Callithrix jacchus: one gene and its partners. The protein of the gene in region 2 purifies or fractionates together with the protein of the main gene of each other region. This does not show direct contact. Links are inferred from orthologs where the notes say so. Each region holds a gene or a part of one and is shown on either strand. Other genes may lie near its edges.

Region 1 (3,983 bases), on a different chromosome or scaffold from region 2:
GCCTCCCAGCTGTGGAAGCAGCTCAGAGATGGGATGTAAGGGGTGTGAGGTCGGTCACACTGTGGATTTGAGTCGAGCCAGGGCAAGCACTGGGTCTCCTGACTCTTGGTCCACGGTGCTTTCTGCTGCCCGCCCCACATCTGTGGGCAACTACAAGTCCCAGCTCTTCTTCCCACAGAGGAGGGGGGCTGCTGATAACTGCTGTCTGGGAGAAGGGTGCTAACCAGATGGTTTCCTTCCTCTCTCAGGACCAAGCCAGGGCCTGGGCGGACCTTGGATCAGTCAGACCTGAGGCTGCACTTTTGCTGGGGAAGGTGCTGAAGCCAGGAGCAGGCTCTGCAGGAGGATGGAGATTCTTCCCTCTGACTGGGAGCTTCCCAGGGAGCACAAGGCCCCTTTAGGGCCAGAATGACTTCAGCCTAAACACCACCTCAACCCACTGTGTGGCCCTGGCAGAGTCACCTGACCTCTCCAGACCTCAGCTTCCTCATCTACAAGGAGATCATAACACTGATTTCAAAAACTTGCCATGAGGATTCCAAGGTGTGGGAGGTGCCAGGCTCTATGCCTGCATGGGCTAGGTGTTCAGGGACAGGGACCACTGTGACTGTATGGTCCTGAATGCTGTGAATTCAGGGTCTCCTGCTTGGACCCTGAATTCACAGCATTCAGGAACATACAGTCTCGGTGGTGGACTGCATGACTTCAGAACTTGTCACTAGAGGCCTCTGTGCTCTCAGGGGGTCACAGAGGGAAGCAGAGATACTCCTCCCTGCTTGCAATGGAGAAATGCCACCTGGAGGAGCCACACGATGTCCTGCAGGGGCACCTGAAGCGAAGGCTGGGGGGCTGGTCTAGTCTCACACTTGGGAGCAGGTCTTCAGTGAGCTCCTCTTCCCTTTCACCAGGACGTCTCAGCCCCACTGCCTACCCAGGGCTGGGCACTGGGGGCAGAGCACAGGATGGTAAAACCTTTCCCCAGCAGAAAGTGCAGCCTCAGGTCTGACTGCTGGGGCCTGAACAATCTCCGATGAACAAACAAAACACAAACAGATCACTCACAGGAGAGGGCCAAGTGGCAGGGCTTCAGCACAAAATGCATGGCTAGCACTTGGAAGATAGGAAGAACCTGGGAAGGCTGCCTGGAAGAGGTGGAGTACAGAATACCCCTGAAAGAAAAGTGTTGAGGAAGGGCATTCCAGGAAGGGAGAAAAGAGGGGGGCAAATGCCCACAAGCAGGATAGTACACATTCCTTCTGGGAATGCTGGGATCTGACTGGAGGGAACAAAAGGCCCAAGTTTGGAGTAATGGGGCACAAGCAGTTTCCAACCTCTCCAGGCTGTACCACTTTCTAGATGTGTGGCTAGTTATGTGCCGCGTGAGCCTCAGTTTCCTCATGTATAAAGTGGAGGTAAAAACAGTCGCTGCCTCTGGGGTTGCTGGTGAGCATGACATGATATCAGCCTCATAAAGCACTCAGCGCAGTCGCGGCGTGCAGTAAGTATCAATCAGTGGCAGCCTCTGTTTGGAGCTGGGATTTTCTCCAGGCACTGGGGAGCCACAGGCGGATCCTGGGCAGGAGGTGGTGTGATCAGATTTATGCTTTAGAATGGCATGGAGAAGGGGTAGAGTCCAGAAGGAGGGAGACAAAGAGGAGGTCTGAGCAGCTGCCTGGGGCCAAAGGAAATGGCCAGTGGCTGACCCCTACTTCACAGAGGAGTCCCCAGATCTGATGGCCAGGTCCCAGACCCCAGACCCCAGCCCCAGCAGCATGACCACTAGGGGGTTGCCATGGCCCCCCATCGCCCTCAAACTTTCCTAGCCCTCAAACTTTTCTAGCTGCTGGGGGTTTAGAAGGATATCTTAGGAATCTAGAAAATTTGCAAATCCATTTAAATCTCCAAAGGTTGCCTGGCGGCTGACTGGCCTAAAGCCAGACTGACTCTTAGAAACACAGCTTGGGCCACGAACTGGAGAACTGGAACTGCGGAGTGGGTCCTGCGGTCCTCGTCCCCTGCTTTCGGTGTACCTGCCTATCTTCTCCCAATTCCCCTCTCCTGCCAACCCCCCCATTGACTGTGCTGTGATTTGGAGGCCCCCACTCAGCACTCAGAAACCCCTGGGGATTGTTTTATGAAGGCAGGAGCAGCAGGGATGATGAGGTGGAGGCCCCTCACCCCAGAGCAGGGGAAAGGAGAGAACTGGCTCCTCCAGCCCTGACATCACCCACAGTCTCCCAGTCTCCTCTCATCCGGTTTTCTTCAAAATATATTCCATTTGTTTTACCTACTCAAAGAGACACAGGCTAGGGCAAAGGGACAGGGCATGGGGCTAGGGTTCCCACCCCTCCCAGCACTTACCTTGCTGCCGATGGCTTCTGGTGTGGGCACAGTTCCAGGCTCTGGACAGTCACCCCCTCCAGGAAGTCCTCCTTACTGCTGTCTCCCCGTTATCAGAAAGACTGCTGGTTCCAGAGTGTGTAATAGCTGGGTAGAAGGACAGGCAGGACCGTTGCAGGCTCCTGAAGGCTCAGGAGAAGGAAGGGACGGAGGGAGAGGGCTGCTGCAGGGGTGAGGAGCAGCCCAGCTTCGCCTCACTCCCCAAGCATCCTCCAGGAGGAGCAGAGCTGCCAGAGGGGCCGCCCTGAGTCTGGCTGTCTGTGTTGGGCAGGGCGGGCACAGGCTGCTGCTGGGCAGCTGGGCTGAGGGGCTGGCTCTCTCCTCCTCCTCGTTGATCTCCTCTCTGGCTCCAAGTTGCTCACAGAGCGATCCTGGGTCCCAGATAGGGCGGGCGGTCACTGCTGGTTGCTGGCAGCCCCAGAAACTCACACCACCGTGGGCTTTCCCGCCCGCCCCCTCCCCCTCGCCACTTTGGGGGAAAGGCTGCAGGGTGGCTTCTGATTGGCCCAGCTGGGGAGAAGGGGGGCAGTGGGGCAGGGAGGGTGAACGCGTGCGTCTGTTTTCAATTTCAGTTTTTTTCCCCTCTCTTTCTTTTCCCCCAAGTTTCTTGTTTTTCTTCTTTTCCCTCTGCTTGCCTCCCTCTCGTCGCCCGTTCTCTCAGGATGTGAGGGGATGCTTAGAAATTCCACAGCCCACGCCAGCCACCAGTAGCTGAGTCACTTTTATCAAAGAGTGGCCTGGGCCCCACTTGCCCAATGCCCATCTTGGGTGGTGGCCTCCCCTTTTCATGACACCCAGGGGAGAGTCATTTCTCAGTGCCTCGGTTTCCCCATCTATAAAGGAGATTCTGATCATCTCTGTGGTTGATTCAGTCAACATTCATTCATTGAGCAAGCATACTGAGCACTTATTACCTTCCAATACTGTACTGAGTGCCAGGACACAGTAGTAAGACATGGTCCTGACCTCAAGCACCCAGGCTAGTGAGTGAGACATTCAGTGGGCAAGCAGGTACCCGGTGGGCAGACAGAAAGCTGAGAGTGCATTTAGAGGGACTCCTAATGGAGGCCTGAGAGAATCAGAGAGCACTGCTGAGAAGAGGTGGCATGGAAGAGATGGAAAGATCCTCCAAGCTGATCAGTCATTTTTCAGAAGGAAAAACCAAGGCCCAGGGGTGAATTGGCACAGAGAGAGAATGTGATTTGGTCAAGGTCACCCAGCACAGATTGGATATATCCGGATATTGACAGACATATTCCTTTTTGAATCTCAAAGCCCCTTGGGTGCAAGGAGAGGATTATTTACCCCATTTTATAGAAGGGGACACTGAGTCCCAGAGGAGCAAAATAAGCTTTCCAAGCGCACACAGCAATGGCAGAGCTGGGGCAGAACTAGATCTCATGAGTCACATGATAGAAGGGACACAATTCATCTGACCCCCACCCAAGACTCCCCGATTCCAGTGTAGATGAGCCCCCAGCCCTGCTTTCTTCCTAGGTTCCCCCTGTGGCTCTTTCCTTCAGTCACTCAACAAGATAATTTCAAGTATCTGTTTTGTTCCATTTCCATTCTCTGGCTCTCCT
Region 2 (4,264 bases):
AGTTCTTATAGTGTTGATTTATTCTTTCCTGATTATAGGGCAGCAAGTTAAAATTTCTGGCAAAGAATTCTCATTTTATATAGCTCAGCAGATCCCCAGTGGGTTAGCTAAAAGAAAAGGCGTATCTTGCCTGGTGGTTTCTCCATAGGACAGGACAGCATGTCTCAGAACTCAGGAAGAGATGGGATGCCGTGGGTTGCTAAGGCATGAGCTGCAGTGGCTTGCTGATCAGCACATTCTCTCTCACCTCCACGGTGGTTCTCTTGCTTGTCTGCAGTGAGTTCATGATTTGAATGCCCATTTGCAGAAAAAAATATATGAGTTTCAAATTCTCTTCCCCATCATCATTTTTTCTTTTCTTCATTGTGAGTCATCTTTCATTAAACAAAACAAAGACGTTACTGTTAATTATACATCTTTCCAAACAGTGCAAAAATTCTTGTGTGTGTGTGGTGGGGGTTGGTGGTTTTGATGGGAATAGTAATTTATAATGGGGGTGTTTTAAATTGTCCATCATGAACATACTGAGAGACACTGAAAAGCTTAAGAGTCTCTACTAAGATAGCAAAAATTGTTTCTGCCTTTTTTTCGTATTTCATAAAGCTCTCACTTTCTGCCCTAACACATTGTTGTAAACATAATTCCATTCAACTATTTTATTGTTCTCTTTATATACCTTATTAAAACTGCAGCTTTATTCAGCTAAAATTGCAAATAATACATGAAGTACCATAATATTGACTGTTTGTAGGCAGAGTATGTGAGCAAACTGGAAAGCTGCCATCCTGTTCCTGGCACTATAAAGATTAATGTGAAGCATGCATGGGTGTCATCAGAACCAGCAGTCAGCCTTGCCAGGGGTTTGGCACACAAGGTTCTAAGGTAATCCCGGAGGTGGAGTTCCATGGATAAGTTAGTGCAGGCTGGTGGGTTGGCAAACCTCCTGCAGAGGGGAACCCCAGCTGATGGGAACCAGGGGCCATCCCCAAAGGGCTTTTTTGACAGTGAGGCCCACTCACAGTCAGATAGGAAGTGGGAAAGGTATGGGCTGGGTGCTGGGGTATTTTAATACAAGAGATAAACTGAGAAAGCCCTTGGAAGACTCAGTTTGTGCCCCAACCATGGATGACTTGTAGAGACTCTGAAAAAGGGAAGTGTGTGTTTGTGTGGTGTGTGTACACAAGGTCACCATCCTTATCTTTCTTGGTTCCAGAAAGTTAAAATCACATGATAGCTTCTTTTGGTGGTATAAGACCAGGTCTTTGCAGTTTCAGGCAGGTGTTTGTGGCAACTGTGACTTAGCAATTGTGTGAATGAGAAAAAAATTTGTGGCCAAATTGATTGTCTGCAACAAATGGAAATTCTATGGTGGTGCTTTGTGGGTGGTTTGTAGGCAGAGAGTACTTGGTTCCCTTTTGATGTCTCACTATTTTTTTTCTTCTTCTACAGTTTTTTTGAAGAAACAGGATGCTGATCTAGACGTGGAAAAAGTAAGTTGGCAAGTTTTGCACTGAGAGCATGTGCCTTGTGAATTGGAAAGGGCTTCCTGTTGGAACCCAGGATGAAGTCCACTTTCAGTGTGGGATTATAATTCTGAGTCCATAGATTTCTGAGAGAGAGGTTGAATTGGAGATGGAACTGGTATGTGAAATAGAAAGAAAATCTTATCTTCCTTAGCGGACCCACTATTTTCTGCCTTCCCTTAGTTGTAACACTCAATTCTGGTAATTTATGGGAACATATGTTTTGACTATAAGTTATGGCTCCCACCACAGAAATAGAATGGAACAGCTGTCCCATGGCTGAGGAGCCTTCGTGCTGGGGGGGAATGGGGAGCACCTGTCCTCAGGCTGGTCAAGGAGGTCATCTTCAGTCCATTCATCGTTGTTTTTCCTCTACTCTCAGATGGCTGCTGCTCACCTCTGCCTGAGTGGTATCTTTGATTGCAGCCACTGTGTAGCAGGTCATTCCTTCATTAACTTAACATTTTTTGGTTCCCACTGGGTGTTAGACATCATGCTGGACTCTGTTGAGACAAAAGTGAATGTGACTAACTAGTACTCAGGTAATTGTGGTACAACCTGAGAGAGCTGTGCAGAAGGGGCTTTGAAGCTCTGACTGAGGGCTGAGCTATCCAGAAAAACTGAGATGGAGGGGGTGTGAGAAGGAGCTGTGAATGCATTCTTTCTCTGAATGTTTGCTAAGCCTTCTCTGCCTGTACTTCTATCTCCCAGGCACCTTGAGTTCCCCAGTGAAAGGCTGAACCTTGCAGCTCTCGCTAGCCACCCAGGCTTCCTTTTCAGCCCCCACTACTCTGCCCAACCACATTGCCTTGGGTGTAACTTTTCAGCTGTTCTGAGTTATGTTCCTCAATTCCCTGGCCACTTTGGGGCTGCCCCTTCATCATCTCAGAATGACTTGGGGTTATTTCTCCTCTTGATTTGAGTGCAAAAGAGGCTTTTCTTCCTAAACTAGAGCCATTCTGAAAGCAGCCAGTTTGTCTGTAAGTTAGGGAAGTGTACTACCTGAAACATTGTTCTGGAACAATGGTGAGTAACTCCTGACCTTTGACCCCATGCAGGCACCTAGCTTCTGCAGGACAGCCTGTGATCTGCTAGTCATGGGCTTTTCAGCTCATAGAAACCAGGGGGACTTGGGGAAATTAAGCAGCTCTAGTTAGGACTAGGCAGAAGGAGCCTTTTTAGAATCCACATGCACTCAGATTTTGACTGTGGAAGCCAGGGATTGGCAAACGCTGCCCCCATGGGAGGTCAGTACACAGTGACCCTTCTGGACTAGGCCAGGTCCACAGCAGGCAAGAGCCTGTGGGTGCCAGGAGCCCCCTCAGGGCAGTGTTGTTCAGGGGAGCCCAAAGAAATGCCTGGGGGTTGCCCCAGACTGCAGGACGTGCCCTGCTCTGTCTAACTCAGGCAGTGAATCCTGCAACCACAGGATGGGGGAGTCCATTCATTTGGATTCCCTGTCCTGGCCCCATGCCAGGCAAACAGCAGGGCTCAGTTAGTGGAGTGTGGGGGCACTGAATGGAATAGTGTTAAAGTTTGCTTCACTTCTGCTGTTAAATTGCTTTTCGACCTTAGACAAATCATTTCTCCTCTCCAAGTCTCATTTATCTTATCAGTAAAGCAGTCCCTTCCCCAGGACCAAGTAAATTTACTCATTTTTAAATTTAAAAACACAAACCAAATATGTTTTTTTGTTTGTTTTCTGACTTGGGTCTTGAATTAAAATGGAAAAAAGAGCTGTTGGCCACCACTCTAAAGAATGCTAGATAAGGCCAGTTATGGATTGGGACTGAGGGAGCAATGAGTGTCTACAAAAGAGTGAACATGGGTGACTGACCCCATCGTGCAGGTGTCTGTAAGTGCTCAGGGAACCCAAAGTAAGAAGCTACACAGGAGTAGAAATGCCGCTTGGACGGAATGAGTCTAAAGGGGTCCGCCTGCACACTCTTCTCAGTCAAGTGGTTACTGACCTGAGAAACAGTCATTGCCTTAGAGGAGTTTGCTGTTTTAACAGTTCTTTTCTAGAAGTTCCACTTTCAGAACCTTTTCCTGTTGCTGGTAGAACACTGTTGAACATGGATACATCAGCTTATCTTTTTGTCTGTGTTTACCTATCCAGAAGAATCTAATATAGGATGTACATCCATTGTATAAGTAAATGATACCTGTTGGCTAACCCCGGTGGAGAAAAATTACCAAAGTCACAGCGTTTGTTCTTCAAATGGATTTTTAAGTTTCCCCTTTTAGTTGAATATTTTTGTAGAGACAGAACCCTATGTGGAAAATCAGCTTTATTTGGACATGTTAAAGCTCAAAGACAAGTTAGTCTTCATTCTGTATTAATTAGTATCCATGGTTTATTGAACTTCTGCTATGGAGAGTGCTTTATATCATCTCTGTTACACTTCACCATGACAGCAGTCCTGTGAGGGAGCCATGAGTGGCTCGAGGTACTGTAGTGATAGTAAGTATTCTACTCAGATCTGTCTGGGCCAGAGCTTTTCCCTTCCCATACCCCACCTTACACTTTGGAATGTATATAATGTTTGAAACAATATATTTGTGTCCCTTATGTTTTAAAGTTTTGTAAATTCTAAGAAAGCAGTGTTTGTTACTTTTTTGAGAGGTCTTCCTTGACACTTCCCTACAGACCCAGTCTGGAATGGGGTTCCCCTATTGCCAGGGATGCTTCAAAGCTGTCATTGTGGTTGAGTCGTTATCTATGCAATGACTTAATAGCA
Region 3 (3,992 bases), on a different chromosome or scaffold from region 2:
CTCTGCATGTCCATTGCCTAATAAGAGAATAACATGCAAGAAAATTTACTGTAAGGAGTATTCAAAAGTATATAATGAACAACTTGGGATTTCTCTGTAAAAACTTCAAGCAAATGTTAACAAAAATATAATCATTTTTATTCTTATCTGTCTACAACTATTTATATAAGAATGACTAAATCACTGATTGAGAGTGAATTAGCTTGTTTTTGTATACTTTGGTTTCCTAAACAAAACTTTGAAATTTTAATTAAATATTATCTTTCATGTGATTCCTTTGCATTTTTCTCTTAGAGATCTAATACTAGTCTGGAGGGTAAGGGTTTTTTATGTTTTTGACGAAAAGCTAAAGAGCATGTTCATAAATATTTTTTGCATTTGTTTACAAAGATAATTTCAACCATGTTTAAGGGATCCAGAGTTGATGAATTGAGGACAGTTAAGACTAGATACAGTCATGTTAATGAAGTAGTTGAACAGAGGAATAAAAACAAATTAAATAATCTGGCAGATCCAATGTGGATTCAGTGGGAAACTCATTAATCATATAATGTTCAAGCTACTATGATGTCCCTTCAAAAACAGAAAACCTAATATTAATCTTTATACAAAAACACCTTCCATAAAGTGTGATTAATTTCCCCATATAAGATTTTTGGTGGCACCATCATGACCTGCTTGGATTGATGTGGATGTGATTCACTTGATGTAATTGGTCAGCAGATTATCTGTCCTTTATAATTGGTATATCATGGCTTATTTGTAGAGAGGCTCTTGGAAAACACCTTTTTTAAGGGTAGTTCATTCATTGAGCACCTTGTTTCTTTCCCAGAGAAATACTTTGTTAACCTATATTAAAACATTTATTACTTTAAAAATATTTATTTTTGTTGCTTATTGTTTAATTTTATTAATTATTACCTTCTTGATTACTCACAACAATCTTGTGAATTTATCTGAATATTTTGAACCACCCATTTATTGGGAAATCAATTTTAAATCTTTAAAACCACTCAAGGAAACAGATTTTCTGTGATTTGCTTTTAGAAATCTCTTTAACAATCATATAATGTTTCAAGTATTCTCATCAATTCATATATCCATCCATTACTCTAATAAGACTTATTGAAGGCCGTGGTGTGCCAGGTTTTAAAAAATAGAATCACTCTACTTGGGAAGACACTCCTCAGGTCAATTCAGGAGACATACAATCTTGCCCAAGCAGTGTGGCAATAATTTTAATGGAATAGAGTGACTTTACCACCATTTACCTTTTATCTTATACATATATGTGTGTATAAACACACACACACACACACACACACACACACACACACACACCACATCCTTTTCTTCATACGAAAGAAGATGTATTTTCAAATCGTGGGAAGAAAAAATAGCTTTCCTTGACCCTTTCTGATTGTCCCTTGAGTAGTAATTCCTATGAAACAAGTAAGACAGTGATTGAATTCAGCTGTGCTAAGTTTTTGGCCTGTGACTGAAGCCTCTCTCTTCCTTTTCGTTCTATTTACAGTTTTAAAATTGCTCAACAATTTGACACTGTTCTTTAAAATTCTGAGAAATGAAAAGTGAAAACGGGGAACAACATAGACAAACATACACAAACAAACGGGGAAACAACATAGACAAACCAACAACATAGAGAAACCAAATAAACAAATTTATTTAATGAGTTAACTTTATAAAAATGCCAAAATAGCTAATTTTTAAAAAGGAATGTGAGACACGGGGATGAATGTGTGGAGAAATCTGAAATCACTTAAATTCTATCAGACATGTGTCAATCTGCCTATTCTGCTCATTAGCAGAATCGGTCCTGATTTGGGAATATCACCTACAGAAGAAGAAAGTCAATGACTAAACTAAAAAAAAATTGAGCAATAGTAGGAGGTGATTTATATTGTCATTTAACACCATGACATAAACTGCATTCTCAGTAGTAAAAAGCATTAACAATAAAATATTGAAAGTAAGACTTTCTCTGTACTTGTGAAAAATAGTCTAGAGAATACTAGCATATCAGTTAGGAAGACAACAATTCCACAAATATCTGGAATAACTGGTATAACAAAACGTTTCAAAAAAATGAGGTCGTAGAATTTGACTGGGATTAATCTAAAAAAATAAAACCTGACAGAAATATAGTAACTTGCAAACAATTTACAAACTGTCATCAAAGTCTGCTGTGAGAAAGACTTCCATTTTCACTAATGCATACGCATTAAAAGACAATATCCTTTCATATGAGTTTATTCTAGATGATCACTGAAAATTTAAATAATCACTTCTTTTGAGAAAAGAGTTAACTAATGCAAAATAGAAATTACTTAGTTTTGTAGAAAAATTGCATTAATGGTAATAGCTTGGAAATCTAAATATTCTGAAACACCCAATTATTTACTTTTGTTCACATAACTGTATATAAATGCATTCCTGTGCAGCAGAAACTGACATAAATGATTATTATCATGTAATTACATTAAATACAGATAATTAATTTGCTTTTTAAATATTCCCCAAAACTCTATCATCAGCATTCTGTGCTCCTCATTCTATGAATACTCTCCATGTAATTGGATTCACGTATAATGTGTCTTAATCCATTCTAGTTGCTATAACAAATACCAAAAACTGGTAGATTCATAAATAACAAACATTTAATCCTCACAGTTCTGAAAGCTGGGGACCTCAAGATCGAGGAACTGGTGGATTTGGTGTCTGGTAAGGCCAATTCCTCTTAAAAGATCCCTTCTTGCTGTGTCTTCACCTCGTAATAGAGGCAAAGAATCACTCCGGAGCCTCTTTTGTAAGGGCACTAAGGCCATTCATGAACACTCCACCCTCATGATCTAAATACCTCCCAAGTTTCCAACTCCAAATACTCTTGGCTTTGGGGATTAGGTTTCAACATATAAATTTTGGGGTAAATAAATATTTAGACTATACCAGTGAGCAAGAACTAAATCATTATTTCAAGTCACTGAGTTTTGGCATTGTTTGTTAATACAAGTACAACTTGTTTTAGTTTGACAGATGCAGAGCCATATGATTCTATTAAATCCATAATTTCAAGAGAAAAACATTCCAAAAACATAATGTTCATATCTTAGAACTATGTTTAACCACATTCAAAGCAACAATTTTATTTTTTCAAGAGAATAAAAAGAATACTCATTCCAACACAGAAAACACTCATTCATTAACAAATTTTGAATCTCCTCTGATATGTCAGGGATTATGTCAAGACTTACCACTACAATGGTGAATAATAATTAACATTCTAGTCCTTTTGGAGCCTAAGTTTGAAGAGTTGAAAATTAAATTACTCAGTTTTATGTATTAATGAATGTTATTAGCAAGGTAAGCCAAGAGTTTTAGGGGAAAACCTAAGAGAATATGTGAAATAGTCTAGGGTAGTAGAGAGTGTTTTAAATTTTTATTTTAAGAGAATAAGAAGTCAAAGTTGCCACTTGAAAGATTAGAAAGAGCTGTCCAAATTGGAGGAATTTAAGGCAGCAAGGAAGTACAAGGCATAGGAACAGTTTTTGCAGTATCCTAGAGTGCAGAGTAAAATGTCTGTCTGTGAGGCGAAGATGCTTGGTATGACTAGAGAGGGAGTGTGGTATTAGAATTTCCTAATAGTGTCACAACAGCATACTTACAGAGAATTCTAAGTCCTCAGTCAACCCTGCAAGAAGCTTTGGGACAGTGACCTGAATAGAGACTAGAAGTTATGCAAGAACAGGATAATGCAATATGTAATATGAGGTCAATAGCTGCCATTGCTTGTTGAATTGAATAGCCAAGTCAAGCAAGCTTTCGACCTGGCAGCCTGAGTGAATGACTGCGTATATGTGTGTGTTTGTGTGTGACTCCCCCAGGGCATGTGTCTGAACAGGTGCAGTTAACTTATATTATTCTTTACTTGGGAGTTACTTGGAAAACTCTCAATGCAAGCAAAACCATAGATG

The links. The genes of interacting proteins can lie anywhere in the genome.
Region 1: the proteins of FYN (region 2) and PDGFRB purify together in Homo sapiens (pull-down; 3 studies listed by IntAct, with this or other methods). This does not show direct contact. The link is inferred for Callithrix jacchus from reciprocal best matches to the Homo sapiens genes FYN and PDGFRB.
Region 3: the proteins of FYN (region 2) and CD36 purify together in Homo sapiens (affinity purification with western blotting; 3 studies listed by BioGRID). This does not show direct contact. The link is inferred for Callithrix jacchus from reciprocal best matches to the Homo sapiens genes FYN and CD36.

The regions. Positions count from the first base shown.
Region 1 is NC_133503.1:48,866,781-48,870,763, forward strand, and holds the start of PDGFRB (platelet-derived growth factor receptor beta), read right to left. Parts: upstream 2,801-3,983; 5' UTR 2,362-2,800; intron 1-2,361. UniProt on the Homo sapiens protein: Tyrosine-protein kinase that acts as a cell-surface receptor for homodimeric PDGFB and PDGFD and for heterodimers formed by PDGFA and PDGFB, and plays an essential role in the regulation of embryonic development, cell proliferation, survival, differentiation, chemotaxis and migration.
Region 2 is NC_133505.1:118,102,670-118,106,933, reverse strand, and holds the start of FYN (tyrosine-protein kinase Fyn), read left to right. Parts: upstream 1-1,464; 5' UTR 1,465-1,490; intron 1,491-4,264. UniProt on the Homo sapiens protein: Non-receptor tyrosine-protein kinase that plays a role in many biological processes including regulation of cell growth and survival, cell adhesion, integrin-mediated signaling, cytoskeletal remodeling, cell motility, immune response and axon guidance.
Region 3 is NC_133512.1:69,397,402-69,401,393, forward strand, and holds the start of CD36 (platelet glycoprotein 4), read right to left. Parts: upstream 2,801-3,992; 5' UTR 2,690-2,800; intron 1-2,689.